Rattus norvegicus: one gene and its partners. The protein of the gene in region 6 interacts with the protein of the main gene of each other region in a biochemical or structural test. Links are inferred from orthologs where the notes say so. Each region holds a gene or a part of one and is shown on either strand. Other genes may lie near its edges. The genes, in order: Mta1, Safb, Trim24, Rela, Src, Esr1 and Ncoa7.

Region 1 (4,068 bases), on a different chromosome or scaffold from region 6:
TCCATTGTCAAAGCAACTCACAGTGCTCAGGCTCAAGCAGGGCCCCCAATCAGCTCCTCCTGACTCCCCCAATTGTGGCAGGGCCAGGATTTCCATCAGGGACACCACCTTTTGTCCTCTGGCCTCCAGGTCATTTCTAAGCACTCCACTCTTCACAAATCTTAGACAAGCACAAAGGCAAGCCCATAGTCACAAATGCTTCTAAATGCTACAAAGAGGGGCCTTCGTCAACTGATGCTGAAAGATGAGGGACACACTGAGGACCCTTACAAGACTTGATGGGTGAAGGGAAGGGCTCACACAAGAAGGACTCAAGGGTACTTTGTAAGCAACTCCCAAGGAGCCCTAGGAGGGCTCACCTCAACAGGTTTGTGAGATCAATCAGGTGTGCTGAGGGTCATTCAGGAAGTTGTTCTCTGGAGGTCACCTGGGTTGCAGAAGACTAGGTGGGCATGGGGCTTGGGAGGGTCACCCATGGGTGCTGAGGGTCAGGAGGGAATGGGCCTGGAGAGGACACCTGGAGAATGCCAAGAGTCATTTGGGGGGCTGGGAGAGCCTCCCAGGTATGCGAAAGACCATATAAGAGGGCCATCCAGGGATCTGAGGAATACTGAGGGTTAAAGACCGGTCACCCAACGGGTGCTGAGGTCCAGGCAGGCTTGGGCCTGGAGAATGCCACTGGAGGAAGCCAAGTATCATTCCGGAGGGGTGGCAGAAGAGCCATCAGTGATGTCTAGGGCCACTCTGGACAGGTTGCAGGAGTACTTCCTAGGGAAACAGGGTGTGGGCCTCCTGAGGACCACCTGGGGATGCCAAGGGCCACTCCAGCGGAGGCTTCGAAGAACCTCCCGGGATGAGTAGCTGGATGCTGCGGGCCAGGTGGGAGAGCCACACGGGGATGTTGAGGACCACTTTGGAGAGGATACAGGAGGGCCACCCGGGATGCCAGGGCCAGGCGATGGCCACCCCGGGATGCTGAGAGATAGGCGGGAGGGGTCGTGGGAGGGCGATCAGGGGATGCCGAGGACCAGACGAGCGAAGGGCTCAGAAGGGCCACTCGGCCAGGGGCGCGCGGGCCGGCGCGGCGCGGGGTCGGGTAACGGCCCGCGCGGTGGGCGGCGGCGCCCGAGGCCCCTCCCCGCCGCCCGCGGCCGCTCCTCCTCTTCCTCTCCCGCCCGCGCCGCGGCCCTCCCGTCCCTGCGCGGCCTCGGCGGCCTCGGAGGCGGCGGCGGCGGCGGCGGCGGAGCAGCGCGGTCCCTTTAAACCGCCCGCCGGCGCCCCCGCGCCCGCCCCCGCCCCGGCCCGCGCCCGGCCCGCCGCCCGCGCCCGCGCCCCGCGCCCCGCGGCCCCGCCGCCGGCCCGGACATGGCCGCCAACATGTACAGGGTCGGAGGTAAGGCCCCGCCACGGCCTTTATGCGCCGCGGGCCCGCCGCCCGCGCCTCCCGGCCCCGCCGCGGCCTCCGCGCCTCCCCCACGCCGCCCTCGCGCGCGGCCCGCGCCCCTCCCCCCCGTCCCGCCCCCGTCGCGCTCGCGCCCCGCCCGCGAGGCTCGGTTCTGGTCTTCGGTGCTCGTCCCGGCCCAAAATGGCCCCTGGGCCGCCGGTGCCGGGGCGCGCGCGCGCGGGGGGAAGAGCGGCGCTGGGAGGGGGCTATGCCCACCTGTTGGGGGCCGGGGGTGGCCCGCGGAGTAGCGGCGAGTGGCCAGGGCATCCCCGTGGCCGGCGGGCCCGGCGGCGCGAGGCCTGGGCCTGGGTCCGGGCCGGAGCCCCTGAGCAGGAGCACGTGCCTCTGGAGCTCTGGCTGCGGTCCCGCGAGCAGGAGTTTGGGGGTCGGGGGGCGAGCGGTCTCCTCTGGGGCCGCACTGAACCCGCTAGGTGTGCAGGCACCGGGAACCTTGTTGCAGGGGCCACAAGCTCGCCCGGACCGAGGGGCTTTCCTTAGCAGGGATTCCTGGGAGGGGGGGTTGGCTACTGCAGGGGGCCTACATCCCAAGTGCAGGTCTGAGTCACCCCAAACTTTTCTCTGCCCTACTGCTCACCCTAGCCTAGCAAAGGAGGCACTTTACTAGCCTTTGGAAGGCCAGAGGTCCCTACTGACCTGGGGCCATGAGGGCCTTTCTGCCCGGGCTGGACCCCCTGTTGTTGGGCCCTAGGCAGCCCTTCCCCCAGTTTGTGTGTATGACCAGGACACTCTGGGATGGCCTTGCACACATCCAGTCCATGCTGACCCTTACAGTTACTTCATCCCATAGCCTTCTGCTCTTTGTGGACTTGGAGACCCTCCTTCTGGTCACAGCCTAAACGTGGATGGGTCCCTGCTCCCCCACTAGCAATGTTGGGCCCTGCTGTGTGTGTGCAGGAGTGGGAGACCACCCAGAAACACCCGTCACCACTCCTGCGGGTGACCCTGACCCTCCAAGTGCCTAGGTCTTTTCCTTCCATCTCACACCAGCGGGACCCAGCCAGCTCAGTTCTGTGGCTTTGGGCACGCAGATGGGTCATCCACCCACCCACAGCAGTCCCTCTCCTGCTACAGGGCACAGCCTAGGGTGTTGAGGCCCTGTGAGGAGGGGCTGGTCCTTGATGTTTCAGTCTTGCCAGTCCCGGAGGGAGTGGGCCACAGCACTGGATCCTGTAAGCTTTCTGGCCCGCTTTCGGGGGGGGGGGGGGGGGGGGCAGGGGTGTCTCTGCTTTGCTCCTGGCACCCCAGGTGGCCTTTTCCCAGGTGCTGCCCCTTACTGTGCCTGGGGAAACCATTTTTGCATTCAGATCCCCCCTTCCTGTTCACTGTGAAGTGCTGCTCCCTCAGCCTCTACCTCTGCTTCCCTCATTTCAAAGGTCCTCCTTTGCCTGTGAAAGGCTCCCATTATCCCGGTCCCTGGCTCTGTTCTTTCTCTGGATTTAGAGACCCTCCTTCTGGTCACAGCCTAAATGTAGATGAGTCTCTGCTCCCCCACTAGCAAAATTGGGCTCTGCCATGAGTGTGTTTTGGAGTGGGAGACCACCTAGGAACACCTGTCACCACTTCTGTGTAGGACCCTGACCACTGAGCCACCCCCACCTGCACCCCCAGTTCACAGCGTTTCTGGCCCATGATGGCATATGATGTGTTGAAGAAATGAATGAATAGCAGAAGTAGAGGTCTGGGCTCCTGCATCGGACTCAGGCAGTGGGAGGTGGTGAGAGCGAGGAAGATGGCCTGCAGGACACTGGGTTCTCAGCCCGTTTCTAAGAGTCCCACAGCTGCCTGCCAGCCTGACAGGGCTGTAGCCAGGGCCCTAGCAGGCTGGGAAGGAGGTCCCAGACTTTGGCTCACTTGTATCTGTTTGCCCACGGCATGGCTAGGGATCCACCCTTTTTTCATCCTGTGTCCTGCGGCTGCTCCTCCAGGGCATAACTGGTGTCCTGGCCTGTCCGAGGTCCCATGAGGGTAGGTGGCTGGACCCTGAGCCTCTGCTTATGTATGGTGGGAGCAGGGATAGGTCTGTATTTCTGTGTATGTTAGCTGGCAAGCATGGTCTGGGGTCCCACCTGTATTGCCTGGAGTGCCTTGCAGTGTAGCAGTCCCCGGAGGGTATCTATGGCAGATGAAGGCTCAGCCCCTATAGGCCTTTTGGATAGAGAACTCTAGTGCCATCCTGGGAGTCCCAGCAGGGCCTTGCGGTGGTGCTCTGGGTGTTGGCTGTTGGCTTCCTGCCCCAGTCACTGCTTGCCAGATTCTCAGGCCCCCAGACGAGAGGACACACTGTGGCTCTCTGAGCAGGCCTTGGTTCAGTCTGTTGTCTGGGCTCTGGCCCCCTGGGAAATCCGTTCAGAGGAGTGACTGGTGGGGACCTAGGTTGGGATTTCTCTCCCCCTGCCCTACCCTCTTGGCACATGCAGCAGAGAAAAGTACAGGATGCCCAGTCAGGTTTAGATTTCAGGAAAACTGCCGTGCCCTAGTGTGAGTGTGTCCCAGCTGTGGAGGCCATGTGGACACTGAGGACTGTGACTTGGAACACAATGTTGGGCGTCCTGTATTCTCTGGCAAGCTTGTCTGGAAGCCTTGTCAGGGTGGACTGGGCTGGG
Region 2 (4,188 bases), on a different chromosome or scaffold from region 6:
CTCATGGGGGGAGGCACTGATTTTTGACAAAGAAAAACAGAACACAGGCTGGGGAAGAAAGCAAGCTGGCAAATTTTCATTAAAAGTATTTGGCTCCTTCCACTTGCAGCCAACCAGAAGGCCCTAACTCTCAAGGACCCTATTCCACGAAGACAACTTTGTTGTCAAGTGCACTAAACGAGACTTCTCTAGGGCAGGACAGTGACATCTCATGCTGACTCAAGATGACACCTAGGCTCCAGGCCAGGGAAGTGCAAGAGGACCAGAACTGGGAGTGAGCATGGTCTGTGCAGAGGCACTGAGCAGACCCAACCATGGGGTTGACTGACAAATTCTCCAGAACAGTAAACTGAGGTGGCAGAAAAGACAGCTGCAGATGCAAGGTCATAGAGAAGTGCCCAGGGCCACCCTATTGCCTCGCTTCTTGCAAACCCCAGGGCAAATGGGAAGCAAGGCACAGAGAGGGATAGCGGCTGGCCAAGGTCACATAGCCTCGGCTCCCTCGGTGGCTGACAGCACAGACCAAAATGGGGTCTCGAGGTAGGAAACCCCGCCCGACTCTGATAAACCAGTTACGTGCTCGGGCGAACGGCGCCAACCGCATTCCCTCACCTTCTTCAGCCGCTCCATCAACACACTCTTGTTGCCTCCTGTATCCAGGTTCCGCTTCTTCAGCTCCGCCCTCAGGTCGATCACCCGCAGGTCGCTGAGCCGCCGCATCCCACTATCCGAAGCGACCGGACTAAAAGCCGGGTCGCCCGACCCGGTCACAGGTTCTGCCATTCTCGCTTCCGTGACTTCCCAACCCCGCTCCGGAACCTCCTACACTCGCTGCCCCCGGCTGCAGAGGCTCTGAGTACAAAATGGCGCCGCCTTAGAGGAAAACGCACTGGTTTCCTCCCGCCTCTCATTGCGGCTGCGCAGGCGCACGGCTCTGACGCACCTCCTAGGTCGCACACCAAAGCAGTCTCTAGCCTCGGTGGTACAAATGCACATGCGCAACCGGTCGTAAGCCCAGCCCCTCTTTTTATGCGCACGCGCATCGCTTTGAAGCGTCTAATGGTCACAGCCCTGATTTGCATCTTGTAGCGCTTCTCCGTTGCGCACGCCACCGCTCAACGGTGCTCGGACACCGATTTGTCGTTTTCCCCTCAATGCGCAGGCGCATGACCTGTTGCACGCATGCGTCGTGGTCCGTGGACAAGGGAGAGCCGGAGAGATGCGCCTGCGCCTTCTCTAACGACGCGCTCACGGCGCTTGTGTAGAGGCGTCTGAGAGCGTCCGTCTCGCGCCGGCGGCGCCTGCGCAGTGTCGAGGTGCACCTCAGGGGAGGCTGAAGCGGTTCCCTCTCAGGCGGCGCCATTTTGTGGTAAGAGGGCCGAGATTCAAAAAAAAAAATAATAACAAATCCAAAAAACACACCCACGCAAGCCCACTGACCCGGTTCTGTGTGAAGTGGGCGACGGAACCAGGGTCCCTGGAATGGCGGAGACTCTGTCGGGTTTAGGAGACTCGGGTGCGGCAAGCGCAGCGGCCGTGAGCTCCGCGGCGTCAGAGACCGGGACGCGGCGGCTCAGCGACCTGCGGGTGATCGACCTGCGGGCGGAGCTGCGGAAGCGAAACCTCGACTCGAGCGGCAACAAGAGCGTGCTGATGGAGCGGCTTAAGAAGGTGAGGTTCGCGGGGGACCCCACGGTCGCCATGGCGACACCCACCGCCTGGCCTGGAGCGGCCCGTGGCCTTCGTGCCGTGCGCTAACACTCGGGCTCCGTGGGCGCGGGGTATGAGGGTTCGAATCCCGACGCCGCAGTGATGCGCCCAGAAGGAAATAACACCGTGAACGGGTTCGAGGGATCGATGACATCGCGTTCCCTGTACTGCTTAGCCCCAACCCTAAAGGGGGATGGAGGAGACTCGGCCAAGGTCACCCAGCAGAGTCAGCTTGTGGCAGGATTCGATCCCAAGTCCCTTTTCGGCTCCCGAGGCAGAACAGGTGGTTTTTGTTTTCTATTCTTTTCTGGAGAGACAGTGGCCTGTAGGGGAATGAAATCTGAGGAACCCTCAGAGCTCATAGACAGCCAGAGGAGGTAGGTAGCCCAGGAAGGGAGGGGGGGAAAGCCGAAAAATAAATTGTTTCTAATTCTTTGCTAGAACTAAACTAGGGTAAAGATGTGAGATGGAAGGAAAGAAGGTCTTTCTGTTGGTAAAGATATCTCAGATGTGAGTTAAAGGCTAACCTGGGCTATAGAGGAGTTTATAACCAACCTGAGTAGTGGAGTTCAGGGCTAGCTAGAGGGTGTCCCAAACCAGACACCCTCTAAGGGACAGGAAGTGAGAGTTGTGAGACAAACCTAGGCAACTTAGCAAGCCTGTTTCAAAGTATAAAGTAGGCTCCAAGGCCTAGTCATTTGGTAGTGTGCTTGCCTTGCATACACAAAACCCTTAAATTTTATCCCAAATACCTCCTAAGGCTGGGAGTGGTGGGGGCAGAAGGATCCTAAGTTTGTGACCATCTTGGGATGCATGAGAGCCTTTCTGTAAAAAGTAGTAGGTTTTTGTTTTGTCTCTGTAAAAAGAGGGCTAGGCACATAGATCAATGCTTGCCCAACATTGCAGAGGTCCTTGGAGCCATCCCTCCACACTGCTGCACACCATTCTGTGTGGTTAGGTGGGAGTCAGAGGACTTAGCCTCAGTCTGAGATCCAGGGGCAGACAGAGAGGCTCATTTTTGTTACCTTCTTTGGTGGCCTAGATTCTCTGTTCAGGAAGACCTTTAAACTCTCTGTGTGTCCTCAGATCAAGGCAGTAGTGGGTCATCTTTAGGGTAGGGAGGACATCACATGGACCCTGGTTTGGCATGCAGCTTAGTCCAGGTAAACAAGCTTACTCTCCTCAAGGCCACCTTTTGACATGTGTAGATGAGGACTCTTGAGCCCCACCTTAGAAAGTGTACTCTGTGTGTATTACCCTCTAGCTTTTGGTCGTTGGCATCTGCCTAATTGCCCCTGCACACAGAAGCTGGAGATTTCACCTTTTTTTTTTTTTTTTTTTTTTTTTTTGAGCTGGGGACCGAACCCAGGGCCTTGCGCTTCCTAGGCAAGCGCTCTACCACTGAGCTAAATCCCCAACCCCGAGATTTCACCTTCTTAATGGGTCCAAAACCAATCACCAGTTGCTATTCAGATAATGGACAAGAAGAGGTGGCAGCAAGATGAAAGCCTGAGTTCTGTTCCCAGCACCCACAATAAATGCCAGGTGGGGTACAGCTGTAATTCCAGTGCTCAGAGAGACAGGAGGATCCCTGAGGCTCACTGGCTGACTAGTCTAACCACGATGGATGGTACCTGAAAGACAGTTGAGGTTGCCTTCTGTCTTCTACCCTGTGGATGTGTACAGTGTTTATTTGAGCACATAACATACATGCTTGTGAGAGTGGATGCAGCAGTTAGAGGCCAGGGCAGGCACACTACACTGAACGTCAGCCAGCTCCTTTTCTGTTTTTGTGTGTGTGTGTGTGTGTGTTTTAATGGATACTACATCTTTTTATTGGAATGGGCAAGAAGCTTCTTACACTGGTGACCCCTATAGAACATATAGGGTGGGGGGGGTTACTAGGGTGATGCTCAGTCTGCTATCGAGGCCCTGGCTGCAGCACCAAGCTCTCTTTCTCCAGACTGGAAGCTGAGGGTCGGCTTCTGGATGTTGTCTTCTTTGTCCCCTTGGGGGTGTAGAGAGACCCTGGTCTGTGCTTGCCCCCACTCAACACCCCTGTATGTCTATCAGATCAGAGGGCAGATCTGCAGTCCTGTCCTTCTGCCTGCTTGTCACCCAGCTGGTGGCCATCTGGTTGACTTTTTTTTTTAAGGGAGGTGGTGTGGAGGAGCAGCTGTTGAAGGGGGTTTGCTGAGGTGGCCTGGGAGGGACAGTTCTGTCTCTTAGCCCCAAGGGATAAAACGAATTACCTTTCTACAGCTTGCTCCTGCCCCTTGGGATGTCTGAAAGCTGACTCACCTTGTGGGCTTGTCTCTGGTTCCCTATTGGAACACTACAGGAAGCCCCTGGGGGTCTGGAAGAGTTGCCTGAGCTTGGAGTTCTGAGGGCACTGCTGCTGCTGCCTTCTCTCTGGGGACTGTAAACTTGCAAACATCCCCAGGGTGAAAGGCATGCTGCTGCTAGAAGGTGTCTCAT
Region 3 (3,500 bases), on a different chromosome or scaffold from region 6:
GTTTTTTGGTATATGCTAGTTATTTTTTGCCAGAAAAAAAAGGCTTATTTGTTTTTTGGTATTATTACCACATGTGTGTGTACACACAAAATATGCTTCCCTTTCTCTCTCCCCTGGTTCTTTCCCTTCAAAGGACATTTGAGCTGTAATGATAGACTGTCGCCTCTGTCTTTGATATGTGCAAAGAGGGTCTATTTACATTTCTCATTATTCTGTCTTGGTACCGCAGTGGCAGATCAGCAGTGGACAGGCTACGCCTACAACTGCCAGCAGCTCCTCCTCCACTCCTTCCAGTCCCACGATCACAAGTGCAGCTGGGTACGATGGAAAAGCTTTCAGTTCACCCATGATTGATCTGAGTGCACCAGTGGGAGGGTCTTACAATCTTCCTTCTCTTCCAGATGTAAGTTTATGTAAAATCTGTACTAATAACCTCCTCTGAAAATTGGCAGTAAATGTGGGTTTAGTTTAAGGTATGGGTTTATTGGTTTATCAGCTATTTCTGAAAGCTTAGTTTTATTCTTTAGAAATAAAATGTGAGTAAAATTAGAAATTCTGAACATTTGGACATACAAAGGAATGTTTTCTGGGCTCTGACGTTGAAGATGTTTGCAGAAGATGTGCCATGGAGTCGAGGCTAGGAAGTGAGCTGGAAGGCTAGACTACTGTCCAGAGGAGAGAGTGGGGAGTAAGAGCAGAGCTCAGGTCAGTTCCTGAAGGGTAAGGCGTGCAAAGCTACAGAAAAGGCAGGACACCAGACCTGTCTACTTGAGCATATTAAGAAATATAGTCAATCTTTAGGATCTTTAACTTTGACAAGGGACTTGGAAAGCATCTTTCTAAAGGCAGAAAGTAACAGTGTTGTGTTGCTGGCCTCTGTGTGGGTCTGTGCCTGTACACATATTGTGCCTACATGAATGCTTGATGCCTTTGGAGGCCACAAGAGGGCATCAGATCCCTTGGAACTGGAGTTACAGACTGCTGTGAGCTGCCAGGCGGGTGCTAGGATGAAATCCGAGTTCTCTGGAAAACAACTGATGTTTGGTTTTTTTCCCAACTGCTGAGCTGTCTCTCCAGCCCTGCTTTTTCCTGCCCTGCAAGATTAGGAGGTCTCAGTGTCATGAGACACATACAACCAAGTATGAAACATTTACACTTGTGAAGGTTTTCACACTTTAGTTGGAAGGAATCGTGTATTAGATTAAACTTTTAATTTTGTTTTAATTTTTTTTCAAGTTCAGATCAATTATATTTCCTAATAAGCATATTATTAATCTTACTAGAGTCATTTCAGTTTTTATAGTGCATATATTTTAAACGGGTAGAGCATACTTTTTTCTTGCTCTTATCAGACATAGGAAAATAATTTAAATTAAAAAAAATTGCTTTTAGGATTATTCCACAATATAAATTATTTTTATTACATTAAGAAACCCAGTCCTTTATGCACTGTCCAGAAATTATTGACTAAAGTAGTACCTAAGAATAGTCAAGTACAAATGACCTTGTCTGCTTCCTGTCCCCCAGGCCCCACTACCATAAAAGAGAGAATCCATAGAAAATGAAGTTTCCTTTCTTTTTTTCTGCATTATTTCATTATGTACAGTCTGTACCCTGGCTTTAGGGCACAGTTCTCCTATAGAATCCCAATTGAGAAAGACTACAAAGAACGTGAAGGAATTGTACATGTTCCTGGGAAGTGATTATTTAGGCAGAGGGAGGGAGGGCGGGTGGGCGGGCGCAAGCACGTATGATGTGGTGCATCTGTTCTCAGTATATTTACCATGGGTAGAATATAAAGAGTAAACTTTAATTTCTTGATGGGGAAATCGTCTAACAGAACTTCTTTTGGGTTCTCTTTTTTTTCTTTTTTTCGGAGCTGGGGACCGAACCCAGGGCCTTGCGTTTGCTAGGCAAGCGCTCTACCACTGAGCTAAATCCCCAGCCCCTAACAGAACTTCTAAGTTTGTATTACTTGAGCCCTTAGTCTCTACACTCCAGAGGCAGAAGCCGGCAGATTTATGGTAGTTCCAAGATCAGTCTGGTCAATAAATTGAGTTCCAAGATAGCCAGGGCTGCACAGAGAAGCCTTGTTTCTCTCAACAAACAGGAAAAAGATAGTACTTGGGATCCAAGTTTTCTTGTAAATTTACAGTAGTAGTTTTTAGTTTTCAACATTAATTTGCCCTGAAAAAATTTCTTCTCTTGGAAGATTGATTGTTCAAGTACTATCTTGTTGGACAATATTGCAAGGAAGGATACAAGTGTAGACCCTGGCCAGCCAAGACCTCCATCAAACAGAACCGTGCAGTCACCAAATTCATCAGTGCCGTCTCCAGGCCTGGCAGGTAAGGCCACCTTTTGGATTCGCAAATGTTTTCTGGTTTTTATTTATACTTTTACTCATAATGATTAAAAGTTCCTCTTTGCCTCACTTTTGATGTATTGGGGGTGGTGTCTGCCTCAATTTTTAAATGATGGTTATTGTATCTTGGTTTTATTTTATATATATTTATATGTATTTCCACATCTGTGCCATAGTGCACATGTGGAAGCCAGAGGACAACTTGGAGTTGATTTTTCTCCTTCCTCTAAGAGGGTGCCAGGCTTCAATGCTTAGGTTGTCAGACTTTGTGATAAGGGTTTTAATCCACTGAACCCATTTCACCAACCTGAGTTTTTTATACCATGTAAAACTAGAATTCTTCACAAAGAAGGAAACTTGGGTTCTTTTTTTAGTTTCAGCAAAATTTATTGGCATTACAGCAACCAAAGAGCAAAGTTTTATCACATTGTCATTAATACATTTAGTTGCCTGTATATGGTCTCTTTGAGAATGTAATTTGCCTAGCTTCGCATTTTATTAGTTAGGATACAAAAGAAGAGAGCGGTCTTGGTGGCTTGTGTTTAGCTGTATTTAATGGTGTTTGGTGTAGGGAGGTAAGGCGATGGCTCACTGGACAAGGGCACGCACTGCTCCTGCAGAGGACCATGGCTCTGTTCGCAGCGCCCTCATGCTGGCTCACAACAGCCTGGAAGTTCAGTGCTTGGCCTCCCTGAGTGTTGCATGCACATGGTACACTTACGCGTATGCAGGCAGACCAGTCGAGTCACATAAAAGTCAATCTTTTAAAAAAAAATCATACTTTAATATTCTTAATTGATTGCTATAAGAAACACGGGAAATACTATTCCTGGAGACTTGATATAGCAGGTGTCTCTTGTGTGGCATCCTGGAGAGACATAGACAGATGCATCCAGGTAATGTGCTGGTGACAAGCTAAAGCAAGAATTGCGCTCAGGTCTAGCCTGGAGAATCAGTGAGCTCACCACACCCTGCCAGTGTGGTTGGTAACTCAGCAAAGAGGGCCCCGAGGCTATCTGCACAGTTTGCAGGCCCCTCTAAGAGAGCTCTTCTGTTCCAGCACTTTCCTACATAAATATTCTGACTTTCTGAATCTTGACTTCTTCAGCTTCCTGAATTTTGAAAAATTTCATTA
Region 4 (4,208 bases), about 170 Mb from region 6:
TGAACTTCTGACCCCATGAGTACTGGGATGACTGGAACATCCTAGACCTAGGAATCAAACCCAGAGCTTCCTTCAATGTTAAGAACTTTCCTGAGTTGCCATCTCTAGCCCTTATTTTTCAGTAAGTACACTCATGTTCATATTAATTAAATTGCAACTATATGTCAGTTTTTAAAAGTGGTTCGTGCGAGGATCAATGATGGCTGTGTGCCATTAATCGGAGACCATAATTCATTCTGTCACCTTGATGTCCGCCCCCGCAAAACATTAAACTGCTTTTTCTAATCTGCGCCAAGTGAGAAACTGAAATGAGTGGGAGGGGCGGTAACTATTTTCACTTTTGTCTTCCTGTTTTTTTCAGAGCCTGGGAAAGAAGTCAGAATTTCCAATCTTTTCCAATTCCCACATGATTTCCTAATTTAGAGAAAATAAGTCTTTCTCCATGTGCTAAAGCCTCCTCTGCCCCCCACCCCGCCTCCTCCTTCTGGCATTGTGGAGGGAGCCTGATGTGTTGATTCCTCCAGCCAGTGTCCCCAGACTCAATCTGCACACCCGCCCTTGGCTTAGATGGCAATTTTCTCTCCCTACAAAAGCTTTCATCACTGGAGCTCAGGCTCCTGGGAGGCCTTCAAGGAGATGCTCAAGTGGTGTGACCCTGGCTAGCTCCGGAGATCCCTAGGGATCTGAACCTTAGCAGACAGGACCTATCTGTGGAGGCGAAGCCCTGGAGCTCTTCCAGCATTCATTGCTCTCAGGGACTCTTAGAGGTACAGGTGTCTACCTCGGTCCCCTCTACACCAAGGCCTCAGTCAAGCCTTGATGAAGCATGCTTTGGGAAGCACTCCTGCGCGCAGCCGGATCTAGGTTGGGAGCATATGGCCTGTAACGCGCGGCGGTCCCCAGAAGGCCCTGCACGAGTAGGAAAACGTGTGGAATTCAGTCACTGTGCTCCGCGGAAGCAGCAGGCCTGAGCCTCTCCTTGTGCAGGGCGAATGGCCGCAGCCTGCCAGCAGCCCGGGCTCTGCTCCAGACCAGGCCAGGGTGACATCACCAAACTCTTGAGATCAGAGCGGGGCGGGGAACGGGACCCGAAATCCCCTAAAAACAGAGTGAGTAATCGCGGGCCCGCCCTCCAGGCGGGGCCCGGACACGGAGCGAACCGCGCTGCGTAGTCCGGGAGCGGCTTGCAGTCGGGCGGGCCTCAGGACGAATAGCCTCGGCGTCCTACCGCCGCGCTCCGGTGTCCCCGCCCGCGCGCCGCACACCTTCCGCGCCCAGCGTGAGTTGCGCACCTGCTCTCGGCCCCCACGCGCGTCGGTGGCGGCGGCGCAGCGCGCAGGCGCGGCCGGATTCCGGGCAGTGACGCGACGACGGGCGCGCGCCGCGCATTTCCGCCTCTGGCGAATGGCTTCGCTTTAGCGCGCCGTGGGCTCAGCTGCGACCCCGGCCCCGCCCCCGGGACCCTGGCCATGGACGGTGAGGCTGCCCTCTGGCCCGCGGGACGGCTGCCCTAGAGTTCCGGGACCTGCGGCGGGATCCCCCTCGCGCCGTCTTCCGCCCCTTTCTGCGCCGCGGGTTGCTGCGCAGGGAGCGGCAGGCCGGATGGTGGCACGGGGCGGGGCGGGCTGCGAGGGGTCTGACTCAGTTGCCCCTCTCAGTGGAGGGCGCCTTGACTCAATGTCCCTCCTGGGTGGGAGTACGGGTGAATCTTGACTCAGTTTCCTCCGGCTTCCCCCCCCCACCCACTGTGTCGATGCGATTAGTTCTGGCTTCCTTTCCGTGTAAGGGAGAAAGTATCTGACTCAGTATCCCCCGAAAAGGAGAGGGGGTAGAACCCTTCCTCAGTGTCACTTATGAACGTAAAACAGGCTCTGACTCAGTTTCCCCGGGCAAAGGAATACCTCTGTGCCCCTTTTCTCTAGTAGAGAGATGCTTTTGCCTTCTTTACCTGGCCTCTTTCAGGGCAGGTCTTAGGATCTTGGCTCAGTTTCCTTTGGAGGCATTCCCTGGTGAGGGTGGGTACTGGAGTTTATTGACAGTGTGCCTTGTCTTTCCCTTTCAGATCTGTTTCCCCTCATCTTTCCCTCAGGTAAGTGGACCATCCTTCCTCAGTAGGTAGGGGCTGTCCTGGAGTAGGGGCCATGGGGGCAGCACCTAATGGCTGACCGTATCACCCACAGAGCCAGCCCAGGCTTCTGGGCCATATGTGGAGATCATTGAGCAGCCCAAGCAGCGGGGCATGCGTTTCCGTTACAAGTGCGAGGGCCGCTCTGCAGGCAGTATTCCTGGGGAGAGAAGCACAGATACCACTAAGACGCACCCCACCATCAAGGTAAGCAAGAGCCCCCAGGGGTGTCGGGGTGGGGACACAGATGTGGTGGAAGGCACTGTGGAGCCCCAGCAGACTTGCCTCCTTGCCACCGCGCCCCGTGTCTAGGAGCCAGATTTGGGATTGCTGGCCTCTAAAGTACTCTGTACTTTGGACAGATCAATGGCTACACGGGACCAGGAACAGTTCGAATCTCCCTGGTCACCAAAGACCCACCTCACCGGCCTCATCCACATGAACTTGTGGGGAAGGACTGCCGGGATGGCTTCTATGAGGCTGAACTCTGCCCAGACCGATGCATCCACAGGTGAGTCTGAATAGATAGGCTGGGGGTAGTGTGAGGTCAGGGTAGGTAGGGGGCAGGGTAAGAGCAGGCTGGGCCAGGCAGCTGTTACAAAGTTACACTTTTCTAAACACTGGCAGAATCCAGAGTCCTTGCTCTGTCCCCAGGTCTGCAAACAGACCCCCTTTGTCTTAAATTCGCTAACAGATGGGAACTCTTTATCTTGGAGCGACAGATCCTTTATGACTGGATAGCCCAGTCCCTTAGGCTCTTGTATCAGAAAGTCCGTAATGGACTCTCCTAGAGCTTAAATACCAGTTGGTAAAACCAGGGGACAGTTGTACAAACAGATAGAAAAGATACTAGTGGAGAATTATAATTTCCATGATGAAAAGAAAACACAGTAATAAATTAGAAGGAGGAGGAGGCTGGTCTCGTGGCATAGGGACAGAGTCTCATATAGCTGAAGCTGGCCTTGCACTCATGAGGGTTCACCTACCTCCTCTTCTCAACTCCAAGGGTAATAGGCGCGTAGCACCATGTCCTGTTACGTAGGTCTCATGACTTTGGGTTGGAAGATTGCAGAAGGCCTCTGTGCTAACACTCAAATGGTGAGAAAAAGCAGACAAGCCCAAAAGAACATTGCATGCACAAGAAAGAAGTATGGTGACCTGGAAAAGGGACTAAGTTTAGTGTGCTCAGGGACGGGACAGGAAGGCCCTGTGGCTGAGGCTAGGACACTGACTTGGGGGCTGGTGTGGGCCAGGTCCCTCAGAGACTCGCCAGTGGGTAAGGAGTGGGTTCATTGTAGCACAGTGGGAAGCCTTGAGCTGTGAGCTGAGGAGTGGGAAGAGGGTGTTCTTTTGGAGACACAGAACTAATGCCTGAGGCCTCAGCTTCCAGAACCTGGGGATCCAGTGTGTGAAGAAGCGAGACCTGGAGCAAGCCATTAGCCAGCGCATCCAGACCAACAATAACCCCTTTCAAGGTAGGAGCAAGGGGCAGGACATAGCCTGCCTGTGGTGCACATTCTGCCACCTTCCCTGGGCCTCTGGCGCTCCTCACCCTCCATGACCAACCCAACAGTACAAGTGGAACCTCGCTGCCAGCATGGTACACACTCACATGCTACCGTTGAGAGTCAGGCCTAGAAAGGGGTGGTGTATTCAGGTCCCAGTAGAGCCGTGATGGGTCTAGGATTTTGTCTTCCTCCCCTTAGACTTCTGTTTTATATATCCTCAAATCACCTTCCTCTTCCCTCAGAGCTCCCTGCCCTCCCCATGCCTTCCACCACTTTTTTTTTTTTTTTGACAGTTCCCATAGAGGAGCAGCGCGGGGACTATGACTTGAATGCGGTCCGCCTCTGCTTCCAGGTGACAGTGCGGGACCCATCAGGCAGGCCCCTCCGCCTGACCCCTGTCCTCTCGCATCCGATTTTTGATAACCGTAAGTGGCCAGCTGCAGTAAGGGGAGAGGGTGGGCTTGGGAAGAGAATGGGGCTGGGGTGGGTGTGGCCTTGCTGCAGGGGGCAGGGCAGAGAAGACCCAGAGCTGCCTCTGTGGGAAGCTTGCAGGATGCCCTGGAGTTGGATGGGAA
Region 5 (3,770 bases), on a different chromosome or scaffold from region 6:
CCTGTCTAATGCAGCCCAGGTGCTGAGCTGACCTCTTGTCCACTGTGACCTCAGACACAGCCCTCCCTCTCCACTGAGCCATGTTCTGGTTGCTGGTGCCTGGAGCACTGACCGCCCACCCATCAGGCTGCCTTCTTCCTGGCAGCATTCCTAATCAATCAACATCCTAGTAACAGTTACTGTTCATGAGCAGACTCCAGCCCCGGGAGGGGTCGCCATTCCTAAGTGGGAATAGAGTCTCAGTGTAGTGTCTGGCCTTGCCCGGGCCCATGCCATGAGTTCAGAGGCAGGGATTGAGACAGACACCCATATGGGCTAGCCTGGGTGGTCCCAGTGTGACATAATGGTGGCCTGTGCTGATGTTGCTATGCCCCTCCCCCACAGGGACCTGGAACGGCACCACGAGGGTTGCCATCAAAACCCTGAAGCCAGGCACCATGTCTCCAGAGGCCTTCCTGCAGGAGGCCCAAGTCATGAAGAAACTGAGGCATGAGAAGCTGGTGCAGCTGTATGCCGTGGTGTCAGAAGAACCCATTTACATTGTGACAGAGTACATGAACAAGGGTAAGGTCTGAGCCCAGGCTGACCTCTGCTCAGATGCCCGCACGGCAGACTGAGGGTAACTTATTCCTTACCCCAAACCAACCAGATGAGTGGACAGCTGTGTCAGGGACTGCCTCTCTCCTTTCGTAAAGAATAACAAATCAACTATTTTTTCCCCTAAAAGACGTTTCTTTTGTCCCTTACCACTGACAGGATCCCTGTTGTTGCTGGTGTGATGGCACACACCTATAATCTCAGTGCCCATGGCTCTGAGGCAGGAGGATCTTGAGTTTGAGGCCAGGCCGGGTACATAGCAAGACTGTCTCTGTCTTGGCAAACAGCGGTGTGGGGCTGGGGGTGTAGCTCGGTTGGGAGAGTGCTTGCCTGGCATGCACAAGGCCCTGGGTTTGACCTTAGGTGTGATCTCCAGTACCACAAGGCTAGGCATAAGACACAGACCTGTAATCCCAGCCCAGGGGACGTAGAGACAGGAGGATCCAGAGTTCGAGGTCGGCCTCCGTTGCACCTTGAGTTGGTTTATGTGAGACCCTGTCTCAGAACAAAACCATGTATAGCGTCCACATTACCCCAGAGTTCTCTGCTGGACTTAGTGATGTGACTCAGCCCCAGCCCCAGGTAGCCACTGGCTCTCCGGTGCGGCCCTGATAAAGCAGTTTCTCTCGGGCTTTACACATAATCTCTTGCATCTTACAACCCCTGTTGTGTTGTCTGCCTGACCGCCTCCCTACCCGCCTTACCACAAGTCCTTGCTCTAACTCCCTGCAGTGTTGGCCTTTGAGCAGGGGGCCAGGTTCTGGGAGCCACAGTTTCCTGCACAGGGAGACTTAGACAAGGCTAGAGCTGGGTCTCTCTCTCCAGGGAGTCTGCTGGACTTTCTCAAGGGGGAAACGGGCAAATACTTGCGGCTACCCCAGCTGGTGGACATGTCTGCTCAGGTGAGTCTCCTCCTCCACCTTCCTCCACCCTTAGCTCTCGAGACCAGAGCGCCCCCTTCAGGAGATCTGCCTTCATTACACCAGAGTCTCACCTTGCAGGTGCCTGGGGTGGTACCTGGGAGTCAGAGGGGCACAAACACGTAATGAAGAATAAAAATAAAACATTAAAAGTTTAAAATGTACTACTTCCATTTGCTAGATGAGGAAACCGAGGCTCAGAGAGGGGACTTAGGACAACAGGCAGGATCTAGCACGCCCCTGTGTCTGTGGGGCCTCCTTTTTTATATACTCACCTGCCCCCCTGGCTGCGTCTTATTGTGACCTCCCATTGTCCTTTGCTCTCCCCTCCCCCACTGAGCTCCGGTCTACTTTTCAAGCCAGCGCTGTTTATTTTAAGCTGAATGAAGTTCCTTGCTTGAACAGACACAGGCTAGGCAGGGTGTTTGAGTGACCAGCCCGAGGCACCTGCTCACAGCACAGGGATGGGTGTGGTTAGCCCCTGAGCCAGGCTCTCTCCGTCTTTACAGATTGCTTCAGGCATGGCCTATGTGGAGCGGATGAACTATGTGCACCGGGACCTCCGAGCCGCCAATATCCTGGTTGGCGAGAACCTGGTGTGCAAAGTGGCCGACTTTGGGCTGGCCCGGCTCATAGAGGACAACGAATACACAGCTCGGCAAGGTGGGAGTGCCTGGCGGTTATCTGATGGTATCGGTCTGTCAGGTGGGAGTGAGAGCAATGCCCCTGCAGCAGACTGGTATCGATAGCCTGTGCTTTCTTGCTTGTAGGTGCCAAATTCCCCATCAAGTGGACCGCCCCTGAAGCGGCTCTGTATGGCAGGTTCACCATCAAGTCGGACGTGTGGTCCTTTGGAATCCTGCTGACTGAGCTCACCACTAAGGGCAGAGTGCCCTATCCTGGTGAGGAGCCTGTACCTGTGCCCCTGACCTTGGCCCTAGGGCAAGCCTCACCACCACCACCCCAATGCTCCCCCACATCACCCACCCCTGGGCTTCCTCTTTCTAGGCTGGATGTGTCTGTCAAAGAGGCTGATCTCTGATCACAGGCTGCCTCTGGTCAGGACTCTTAGCCTCCAAGGCAGTGTTCTGTACAGCATAGGGTAAAAGTGGTCTAGGCTGTGCCAGTCTCTGGAGCCATCTCCTCATAGCCCTCTCTCTGTTTGTTCATAGGGATGGTGAACCGAGAGGTGCTGGACCAGGTAGAGCGGGGCTACCGGATGCCTTGTCCCCCCGAGTGCCCTGAGTCCCTGCATGACCTCATGTGCCAGTGCTGGCGGAAGGAGCCTGAGGAGCGGCCCACCTTCGAGTACCTGCAGGCCTTCCTGGAGGACTACTTTACGTCCACGGAGCCGCAGTACCAGCCCGGGGAGAACCTATAGGAACTGTGTGCACAGAACTGTCACCTCTAGGCTTTTGGGTGTCGCCTCCCTTCATCCTCTCTCTGGGGCTGAGTTCCTCTGCAATGCCCCTTTTGGAGCATGGAAGGGCTTCAGGGACGGGGCAGCCTGGAAGGACAGGTTGAGGCTGGTACAGCGACTGTCCCACGCCTGCCATGGCCACAGGCTCTCTGTGCATTCTCTCTGGAGTCGGCCTGCTTCATACTGGGTGACGAGCCGAGCTGGGGGCGGTTTTCCAACCTCAACCCACTCTACCCACCTGGCTCCTCCCCACTTTCTAAACCCTGGGTCTGTTTCAAGCTGGCCAAAGAGCCTTTCCAAAGAGGAATAAGGCCCAGCCCTTGGCCTATATGTACTAACTGCCCCTGGTCATCCTTGTTGGAGGCTTCTGGGTGGAACATTGGGTCTAGAACCCTCTCCCATGGCTCTCAGGCTAGACAGCCCAAGACCCAACACCAGTTGGGATAAGTGTCAGAGTGAGCACTCCCTCAGCCCTGTCCTCACCAAGGACCCTTGAGATCACCAACACATTACCCTCATTTCTCTGTTGGAAAAACTGAATCCAGGAGGGGCTGGGACCTGTCCAAGACCACGGGCAGTTTCGGGTTGAGGTGGGCTTGGCACCTGGTGCTCCCTCTGTCTTCCTCAGGAACTAACGAGAGCTGTCCTCCAAGGGAGTGGGCAGGCTGAGGCCCGAGAGTGGCTTCAAGTTGTCAGGGTTCTGCTCTCACTGATGCTCATGGGTCTATCATGGGGGAAGAGGCAAGCAGGAGGCTGAGCCCGGCGTGAGGGGTAGGAAATGACGGTGTGGAAGAGGTGCGTCACAATGCAGCTGGGCTTTGACCTTAAGAGCT
Region 6 (3,500 bases):
AGTGTACACAGAGACACATGTACACATATATTCACATATACATACACATATATACATATGCATACATGCACACATGTACACACAGAGACATATGTACACATATACATACATGTACACACATACATACATAAACACATAAAATACATACACAGATACATAGACACATGTACACATATACACACATGTTCACATAAAATAATACACGGATACACACATATATATGTATATAAATATACATAAACACACACAAAAGCATACACATACACATGTGCACAAACACAGACATGTATGCACAGATAAATACACATGTGTCATACATATATGTGTACACATACATATATATGCTTACACATACTCATATACATACATATATACAGACACACATGTGCACACAAAATTACTTGTATGTTAGAGACAACTACTACTCACTCATAAAATTCTATTGTTATATTCCCAGGAGCTTGTTCTGAGATTGACAGGCAAAAAAGGTAATCAAATTTGTTCTTTATCCTTCTGTGATTTCAGGGATACGAAAAGACCGCCGAGGAGGGAGAATGTTGAAGCACAAGCGTCAGAGAGATGACTTGGAAGGCCGAAATGAAATGGGCACTTCAGGAGACATGAGAGCTGCCAACCTTTGGCCAAGTCCACTTGTGATCAAGCACACTAAGAAGAATAGCCCCGCCCTGTCCTTGACAGCTGACCAGATGGTCAGTGCCTTATTGGATGCTGAACCACCTTTGATCTATTCTGAATATGATCCTTCTAGACCCTTCAGTGAAGCCTCAATGATGGGCTTATTGACCAACCTGGCAGACAGGGAGCTGGTTCATATGATCAACTGGGCAAAGAGAGTGCCAGGTAAGAATGCTAAACTCCACTTCCATGGAAAGAGTGAATAACTTTTCAACAATTGGGTGTGGTAAGGTGAGGGGGGAAATAGAAGTGTGCTATGTGATTAGAGAAAAGGCTGTATTAGAATTTGTCAATTGTCAATATAACCTACTGTATTTCTCTTGATACCTAGGAAATAGCCTTTAAAATTTAAAAGTAAACACCCAGCAGACTAAAACCTTAGGCATACTGTTTTTGGCCAGTCTTCTTTGCTCAAAAGACTTGGATGAACACTACATACCACACACATATATGTCCTGTCATGCAGATATCACATATTAAAAATACTTAATGCTTGGGGATCTGTGGAATTGTTTTTATTTCTAATGCTATCATTCAAAACACCTTTATTGAGAGGCAGTTTGTCCATATGTAATCCTTCACCAAATATTGGCGTACACTAAAGGCCGATAGTTTATTTGTAGAATGCCAATTATTTATTCAACTTGTTTCCTGCATGGGATGTCCAGAGAAACAAAGACACAGTGGTCAAACCAATGCCAACAACGTCCTAGGGAGCATTTAGAAGGTTCCAGAAGCTGGAGCGATGCTCTACCCCTCTTATTGGTCTCTCAAGTGCTGCCTTTATGGCTCTTGAGTGTTCTTGTTTAAGGAAAAGGACTCCAGTTATGATGGAAACAAGACCGTCCCATGCCTCAACTAATGGATTTCATATGCGGAAGTCTGTGCCGAAGCAACAGAAGGGTGGACTCTTGTTTTCTGGCTTACAGATTAAGTCAATGGGGGATGTAAATATAGAGCTTTTTCTCCTTGGGCTTCAATAGATCTGTGACATGTGGGATATTTTATCCATTTTTATAAAACTAAAATGCATGTGGCATTTTGGGCCTTGATTTCCAGAGTCACTGACAGAGTCTGAGTTGATGGGGATCTCCCCTTGGGGAATCTTAATGCATTTGCATAAACCCACATATAAACATGCTGTTCTTTGAGTAAGAAGGCAGCAATCCATTGAACCAAACTGACTACAGGGCATCCATCTAGGTGGTTGGGTAAGTAGGGTACGTAGAACAAATTTAAGTTTCGAGAATCGTTCTGTTGGACAAAAATTCTTGGCCATCTGAAGAGCTAAAAGTTTTAATTAGCACCTAGATATTTTAGCATTGTTTTGTGAGGCAGATACAGATACCTCAGGATTGGAATTACATAAGGATATATGTTTTTCCTTGAAGTTTGTGTCTGTTTTTATACTTTGAGAAGAAAAGAAAAGAAAAAGAGAAACCACAAGAGATTTAATGGCCGTACCCATGAGAACCAGATCTGGGCTGCTATTAAGTTTTTATTATTCTGTAAACATATCCCTTATGAGATCCTGAAAATTCTTGTTCCAGAGCCGAACTGTGGGTATATGCTGAACCCAAGCATATTTTTTTATTTTTATCTTTATTTTTAGAGTTACACCTTAACATTTTATGATTGATACTTTGTTGTTACTATTGTTGTTTATGTCAGGGCGCTTGCTGGGTAGTCCAGGCAGGCCCTGAACTTATCTTTCTGCTTCTGTCTGAACGAGTTCAACTATATTACTCATTGATGGAAGATTCAAGAAAATAGCCTCAATTTAGGATTAAAATAGAAGTCAAGGCTAAAAAGATGCCATTTTCGTGTTAGCTAATTCATTGTTAAACTCAGCATTAGACATGTGTGATGATAACATATGTAACAAAACTACTCTCAAATTTCTTTACGCTAATCAAGAGGGCCCAATATCTTTGGGTTAAACTATATTTTGTGAATTGGTCCCTTAGAAAAAGGAATTATAGAATCATAATGCAATTATGTACAGTCATGTGCCCTGTAACAACATTTTGCATAACAACAGGCCTTGTCAATAGAGTTAGGCCTGCATGTTCTATAGGTTAGAGCAAGGGCAGGTGTCATTGTTGGTGGGTCTGTGTTTAACATGGGTCAGTTTGTAGAGAAAAGCAGATCCACACAGGCATGCATTCCTCTGATGTGTCACTGTCATGAAGAGACACAAGGCTTTCTGTTTCTCCATTTCTCCATCTGTCTATTTCTCTTTGTCTATTTCTGCCTTTGTCTGTCTGTCTGTCTGTCTGTCTGTCTGTCTGTCTGTCTGTCTCTCTGTGTATGTGTACCATTAAAATGCAGCTTTGTAAGTGCAAAGCCTACTTATCTAGAGGAAATGGAATGAAAATAGCCACTGATTTAAAAAAAGGATGAAAAAAAGAAGAGCAGACCTAATGCCCTTAGGATGAACTCTGAAGATGACTGTGGAAGTTTGCAATGAAAATTTTACTTTCAAAAGACTTTATATACCCAAATACCTCCGTCATTTAGAAAGATAGTTTACACTGACGAGCTGGTATAGGGAATGCCACATTTATGATAATTTAGGAATAATAATGGCAATTTCAGAAAGGGAAAGAGAAACATGGCGAGGTAGAACAACAGCAATGGAACCAGTAATGTGATTTGGATTTGAGAGAGGCCAAAGTGGTTTTTAGGGAGGACTTGGAGGGCAGAAACAGAGGTTGGGGGAAATGATGTAACTGCACTGTACTCTCCAAAGAAATAATTAAAACATGTACACAACAGGAGGTAAAGAAAACACTTCAATAAAG
Region 7 (4,281 bases), about 15 Mb from region 6:
TACTGGATAATGAAGATGTAGATGACGTTAATTCTGATTTCTGTGTGAAGACAAGACTCAGATAAATTGGTCAATACTCAGTCACAAAAGAGAATGACCGACAAATCTTTAAATTAGAAGCAACTCACCCCCAGCCATGGGAGCACCAGCCCCTGTTCTGTTCAGACTTTCACTGTAGTGACAAGCTATAAGTTGCATGCAATCCATCATGTAATCCCAGGGGAGCCAATGAAGACAGTGCCGTTGTTTGCCATTGCTTTGGAAAAGCTCTGGAACACTGCATCAGCAAGTCACCCCTTTAAACACATACTCAGTTATACTTTTGCCTAAGAGAAAAGAAACCAAGGCTTATTTTACTTCCCGACAGAACCCTTGGGATTAGGCACAAAGGGGTGCTGATGGAGTTAAAGAGTAGGAAACGGTAGCTGCAGCTCAGTGAAGAGCTCCTGGAGAGACTGCACTCAAGGTTCACACACTTGGTTAAGCAAACAGCAAAGTTCTTGTCCTGAGTGATTTCAAGATGTTTTCCATAACAGCACTCTGTACGTCTTCCTTCCCGAAATTAGGTCATTCTGAACTGGGGCTTTAGATTCACCAGCCATTCTCAGAACAGAACTGAATCACGTGCCTCTCCTCCCAAATACAGCTCAGACCCTGCTCCACCCTGACCTCCTAGGGGTTACCCACCTCCCCCCGGAAAGGTCAGCTATCTTATCATCGAAGTGTGAACTTGATATGATTTTTCCTTTCTTTTTAAACTTTTACTTTACTTTTTGAAACAGGGTGTTTGTTATACAGCCTAGGTTAGCATTTGAGGTTGGCCTTGGATTCCTTAACTTCCTAACTCCACCTCCCAAGAGCTGGGGTTACAGGGCTATGTCACCATTCCCGTGTGTGTGTGTGTGTGTGTGTGTGTGTGTGTGTGTGTGTGTGTGTATTCCGATATTTATTTTTACTAAGCTTAGATTTCAAAATCACAAAAGCACTTATCAAAGAATTGTGAGACCATCACCATTTCTCTGGAGGCTTCAGGCAATGGTTTTCTTTTGATACAAATAGAATCATGTCTATATTTTAGGAACCCATTTTTTTTTCCTTTGCTAAAGGCTAAATCATTTGACTAAAAGGTGTCTAAAGAACAAGAAGTCTCTCCTATTCAAAGCATAAATACGTAAACCTGATGTCAGAATTTATAGATGGTGAGTGCAAAACCAGGAAGAGATTTCATATTTGCACGACTGTGTAACATCACCTGCTCCTGAAATCTCAAAGGCAGACGGTTCGGTGCTTTGCTCCACCCTCCAGAGAGACTGGCAGTACCAAGAGGCAGCAGCAACCTGCGGAGGCCTCTATGTACTGTGTGTTGATGGCTTGGGACACACCAGTTACACACACACACACACACACACACACACACACACACACACACACTTTTTCTTCCTGTATTTAAGAGTGATCTTCACAACCAGATCCTCCGAGTCATCTTGCAGTGATAGCCACTGGACTGTAAAGGGAACAGCGTCCAGGTTGGAAGCTCACAAGCAACAGGCCCCTGGGCTCATGCAAAAACCTTCCCACTGAGCTGCTCTCCGGCCCCAACCAAGAGCCGGCTGGACTGCCCAATTGCTACATTGCATTGCCTTGGCTATAAGGATCAAATTTAGCAGCTTATAGGATGTTGTACCGGGGACAGGAGAAAAAGGAGACGGTGGGCCCCTTTGCCAAAGGAAATGCCGGAAAAGACAGAGGATGAATTTATGGTTACCCCTGGTCCTAGCGCTGGAAGGGAAAGGAAAGGGACTTTAAGGCTCCGACAGGGGCTCTTCCTCCAGCTGTGCGGATAAACGCTAACTTCCCTCCAAGATTCAGCCAGTAGCCAGCTAGAGGGATGAGATTAAGTGCCAGGTAAGCAGACCATTCCCCGTTCACAGAAAAGATGACCGTCGCCTCGGGCGGCGTCACAAAGGGCCCGGGCCTGCGGAGGCCGCGCGCGCATCTCTCTGGGGCGGAGCCGCCGGGCCCAGGTTTGGGGTGGATCCGAGCCACCTCGGGGCTTCCAGCCTGCGGCTCGGAGGTCGCACCGGGCAGGCAAGATGCCGCTGCTGCAGCCGGAGCCGCTAGGGCGGGCCTCTGAGCTCCCGGATCCCCGCCGCAGCAGACCAGTGCAGCGCGCGCCCCGGGTCGGGCGGAGCTAGAGGCGGGCGCCGGGCGGGCGTCGCGCCACCGCAGCTCCCCGCCTTCCGCTCCGTGCGTGCCCCGTGCCTTGACCGTGGGTGCCGCTGCTGGCACCTGGGCGAGGCTTCGAGCATCCCGGCGGCGGCTGCTCCGGCCAGATCAGCGCTCCGGAACCCCTCAGGAGCGCTCCTCGCCGCCTCTTGCTGCTTCCCTTCGCTCCTCCTCGGCGAACGATCCCGCCCCCCCCCCCCTGCCCCCGTCCTTTTCCCTCCTCCCACACGGGAGGATGCGCTCCCCAGCGCCCGGCGGCAGAGGCCACGGCTCCCAGAAATGCGTGCGCCCGAGCCACTTCGCCCGGACCCGCGGAGCCCGCGCCCCCGCCCAGTAGGTAGGTGGCCGAGGCGGGGCCAGGCCTTGGAGGCTACGGGCTGCTGATGCTGGGGCCCGGACGAACCGGAGCGGCTGCCAGCCGCAGCCAAACTTGCCCCCTCCTGGGCTGCCAGCGCTCCGAGGTGTGCTAATGGCGCTGGGCGCAGCCCCCGAGGGACCCCAGACGCTCTGCTTGGAACGTTCGAGGCGCAGGGCCGCTGGACCCTCCTCGCCAACAATCTGGGGACCCTTGGTTGGAGGCTGTGGGAAGCTTGGAGGGATAGGTTGGCGCTGGTCTTCTTTGCGAGGAGACCGTTGCCTTTTTCACGAGCTCAAGTAGACTGTGTCATTGCATTTTTAAAAAAGCAGGATCAGCAAATGCGTTCTTTCTCTCCTTTTTGCTAAAAATGTAGACGACCACGATTGCTGTTTTAGAGGTATTTAGGAGTGGTTGTGGATTTTTGTGTAATTTACAGCTAGCCGAGTGGTGTATAAAGTCAGAGGTGCGAAGACTTTAACATTTTGGGTGCCAGTTTAAGGAAAGTCTTTCCAGAAATCAGATTACCTAAGTGATGGATGAGGCTGGCGTGTTCCCTTAAGCTGGCGGGAGCCTACGGGTTTGAGAGCTGCAAGTTTGACACAGGTGTCGGGGAGTTGAGACTCTGAAAGATGTGCCTGTTAGCCAGCAGAGGCAGCCTTGTCTCCAGCCTCGCCTACAACTCTGAGCTGATTCCTGCCTTTCTGAGAAACTGGTTGAGTCTTTCCCCCACTGTTCTTGAAGTAAAATTCATAGATTGGGGCTTTTATCGAAATTGTTACTTCTCAGGCTGCCGTTTTGGATTTTACATTAAGCAATAAGGTTTAGGGTTTTGAAAAAAAGGACCATTGTAAATTCCAATTTTGTAAGCACTATTTCAGATTAGGGATTTTGGCGAACTGAATCAATATAAATACTAAGAGGACAGAATCACCATCATTATCAGTTCCTCTTCTCCCCTCCTCCCCTTCTTCCTCTCCCCTTCTCCCCTTCCTCCTTCACCCTCCTCCCCTTCTTCCGCCCCTCTCCTTCTCTTCCTATTCTGTAATTCCCTAGTGTTGGATGCTTTATAGCTGTTTGTTATTCGTTGAATGAGTGAAAATTGTATTTCAAGGTAATTGTATATAACCCAATATAATTTAAAATTATAGTATGTGTTGTTGTTATTTGCTAGTACAATTAACTGTATTCTTAAAACTTGCCTCTTTCTATAAACAGGCCAAGCTTGGTCATTTTTTCATTGACATTTCTGGCCTCAGCAGTAAGGAAGGCAGTTCTCTGTTTAGGATCACTTTGTGCCCACTTTCCAGTGTTATAGCAATCGATACCGTTTCAATTGTGCTTTCTAAAACAATTTAGAAGGCAGACTTTATGGTCAGAGAAAATTCTTAAGTTATTTTAGAAGGAGCAGCGATCTGGTTAATAAGTAACAGGTAACTTGTCTTAAAGTTGAGCTGTGGTATATATATGCATATATATATGTACACACACACACATATATATATATATATATGTATATATATAATTAAAGCTAAAGATGAAAAGAAAACCTTTAAAAGCGTCTGTGGTTCCAAAGTGACCTCACATATATCATACAGATACAAATTTATTTTCTTTCTCACTTCCTCTCCTCTTCTCTTCTCTCTCTCTCTCTCTCCCTCCCTCCCTCCCTCCCCCCCTCTCTTTCTCTCTCTCTCTCT

Evidence for each region.
Region 1: the proteins of Esr1 (region 6) and Mta1 form a complex in vitro, tested with the Homo sapiens proteins (4 studies listed by BioGRID). The link is inferred for Rattus norvegicus from reciprocal best matches to the Homo sapiens genes ESR1 and MTA1.
Region 2: the proteins of Esr1 (region 6) and Safb form a complex in vitro, tested with the Homo sapiens proteins (2 studies listed by BioGRID). The link is inferred for Rattus norvegicus from reciprocal best matches to the Homo sapiens genes ESR1 and SAFB.
Region 3: the proteins of Esr1 (region 6) and Trim24 form a complex in vitro, tested with the Homo sapiens proteins (4 studies listed by BioGRID). The link is inferred for Rattus norvegicus from reciprocal best matches to the Homo sapiens genes ESR1 and TRIM24.
Region 4: the proteins of Esr1 (region 6) and Rela form a complex in vitro, tested with the Homo sapiens proteins (3 studies listed by BioGRID and IntAct). The link is inferred for Rattus norvegicus from reciprocal best matches to the Homo sapiens genes ESR1 and RELA.
Region 5: the proteins of Esr1 (region 6) and Src form a complex in vitro, tested with the Homo sapiens proteins (3 studies listed by BioGRID). The link is inferred for Rattus norvegicus from reciprocal best matches to the Homo sapiens genes ESR1 and SRC.
Region 7: the proteins of Esr1 (region 6) and Ncoa7 form a complex in vitro, tested with the Homo sapiens proteins (2 studies listed by BioGRID). The link is inferred for Rattus norvegicus from reciprocal best matches to the Homo sapiens genes ESR1 and NCOA7.

What each region holds. Positions count from the first base shown.
Region 1 is NC_086024.1:137,998,647-138,002,714, forward strand, and holds the start of Mta1 (metastasis-associated protein MTA1), read left to right. Parts: upstream 1-1,268; 5' UTR 1,269-1,365; coding exon 1,366-1,393; intron 1,394-4,068. UniProt on the Homo sapiens protein: Transcriptional coregulator which can act as both a transcriptional corepressor and coactivator. Acts as a component of the histone deacetylase NuRD complex which participates in the remodeling of chromatin.
Region 2 is NC_086027.1:1,503,269-1,507,456, forward strand, and holds the start of Safb (scaffold attachment factor B1), read left to right. Parts: upstream 1-1,388; 5' UTR 1,389-1,482; coding exon 1,483-1,671; intron 1,672-4,188. Other genes in the region: Safb2 (scaffold attachment factor B2), read right to left, coding at 613-783. UniProt on the Homo sapiens protein: Binds to scaffold/matrix attachment region (S/MAR) DNA and forms a molecular assembly point to allow the formation of a 'transcriptosomal' complex (consisting of SR proteins and RNA polymerase II) coupling transcription and RNA processing.
Region 3 is NC_086022.1:67,642,335-67,645,834, forward strand, and holds part of Trim24 (transcription intermediary factor 1-alpha), read left to right. Parts: intron 1-229; coding exon 230-403; intron 404-2,212; coding exon 2,213-2,348; intron 2,349-3,500. UniProt on the Homo sapiens protein: Transcriptional coactivator that interacts with numerous nuclear receptors and coactivators and modulates the transcription of target genes.
Region 4 is NC_086019.1:212,352,928-212,357,135, forward strand, and holds the start of Rela (transcription factor p65), read left to right. Parts: upstream 1-1,408; 5' UTR 1,409-1,469; coding exon 1,470-1,476; intron 1,477-2,062; coding exon 2,063-2,089; intron 2,090-2,180; coding exon 2,181-2,332; intron 2,333-2,487; coding exon 2,488-2,636; intron 2,637-3,508; coding exon 3,509-3,600; intron 3,601-3,926; coding exon 3,927-4,058; intron 4,059-4,208. UniProt on the Homo sapiens protein: NF-kappa-B is a pleiotropic transcription factor present in almost all cell types and is the endpoint of a series of signal transduction events that are initiated by a vast array of stimuli related to many biological processes such as inflammation, immunity, differentiation, cell growth, tumorigenesis and apoptosis.
Region 5 is NC_086021.1:166,554,688-166,558,457, forward strand, and holds the end of Src (proto-oncogene tyrosine-protein kinase Src), read left to right. Parts: intron 1-384; coding exon 385-564; intron 565-1,422; coding exon 1,423-1,499; intron 1,500-2,026; coding exon 2,027-2,180; intron 2,181-2,287; coding exon 2,288-2,419; intron 2,420-2,689; coding exon 2,690-2,898; 3' UTR 2,899-3,270; downstream 3,271-3,770. UniProt on the Homo sapiens protein: Non-receptor protein tyrosine kinase which is activated following engagement of many different classes of cellular receptors including immune response receptors, integrins and other adhesion receptors, receptor protein tyrosine kinases, G protein-coupled receptors as well as cytokine receptors.
Region 6 is NC_086019.1:43,770,190-43,773,689, forward strand, and holds part of Esr1 (estrogen receptor), read left to right. Parts: intron 1-525; coding exon 526-861; intron 862-3,500.
Region 7 is NC_086019.1:28,673,178-28,677,458, forward strand, and holds the start of Ncoa7 (nuclear receptor coactivator 7), read left to right. Parts: upstream 1-1,481; 5' UTR 1,482-1,905; intron 1,906-2,424; exon of another isoform or gene 2,425-2,687; intron 2,688-4,281. UniProt on the Homo sapiens protein: Enhances the transcriptional activities of several nuclear receptors. Involved in the coactivation of different nuclear receptors, such as ESR1, THRB, PPARG and RARA.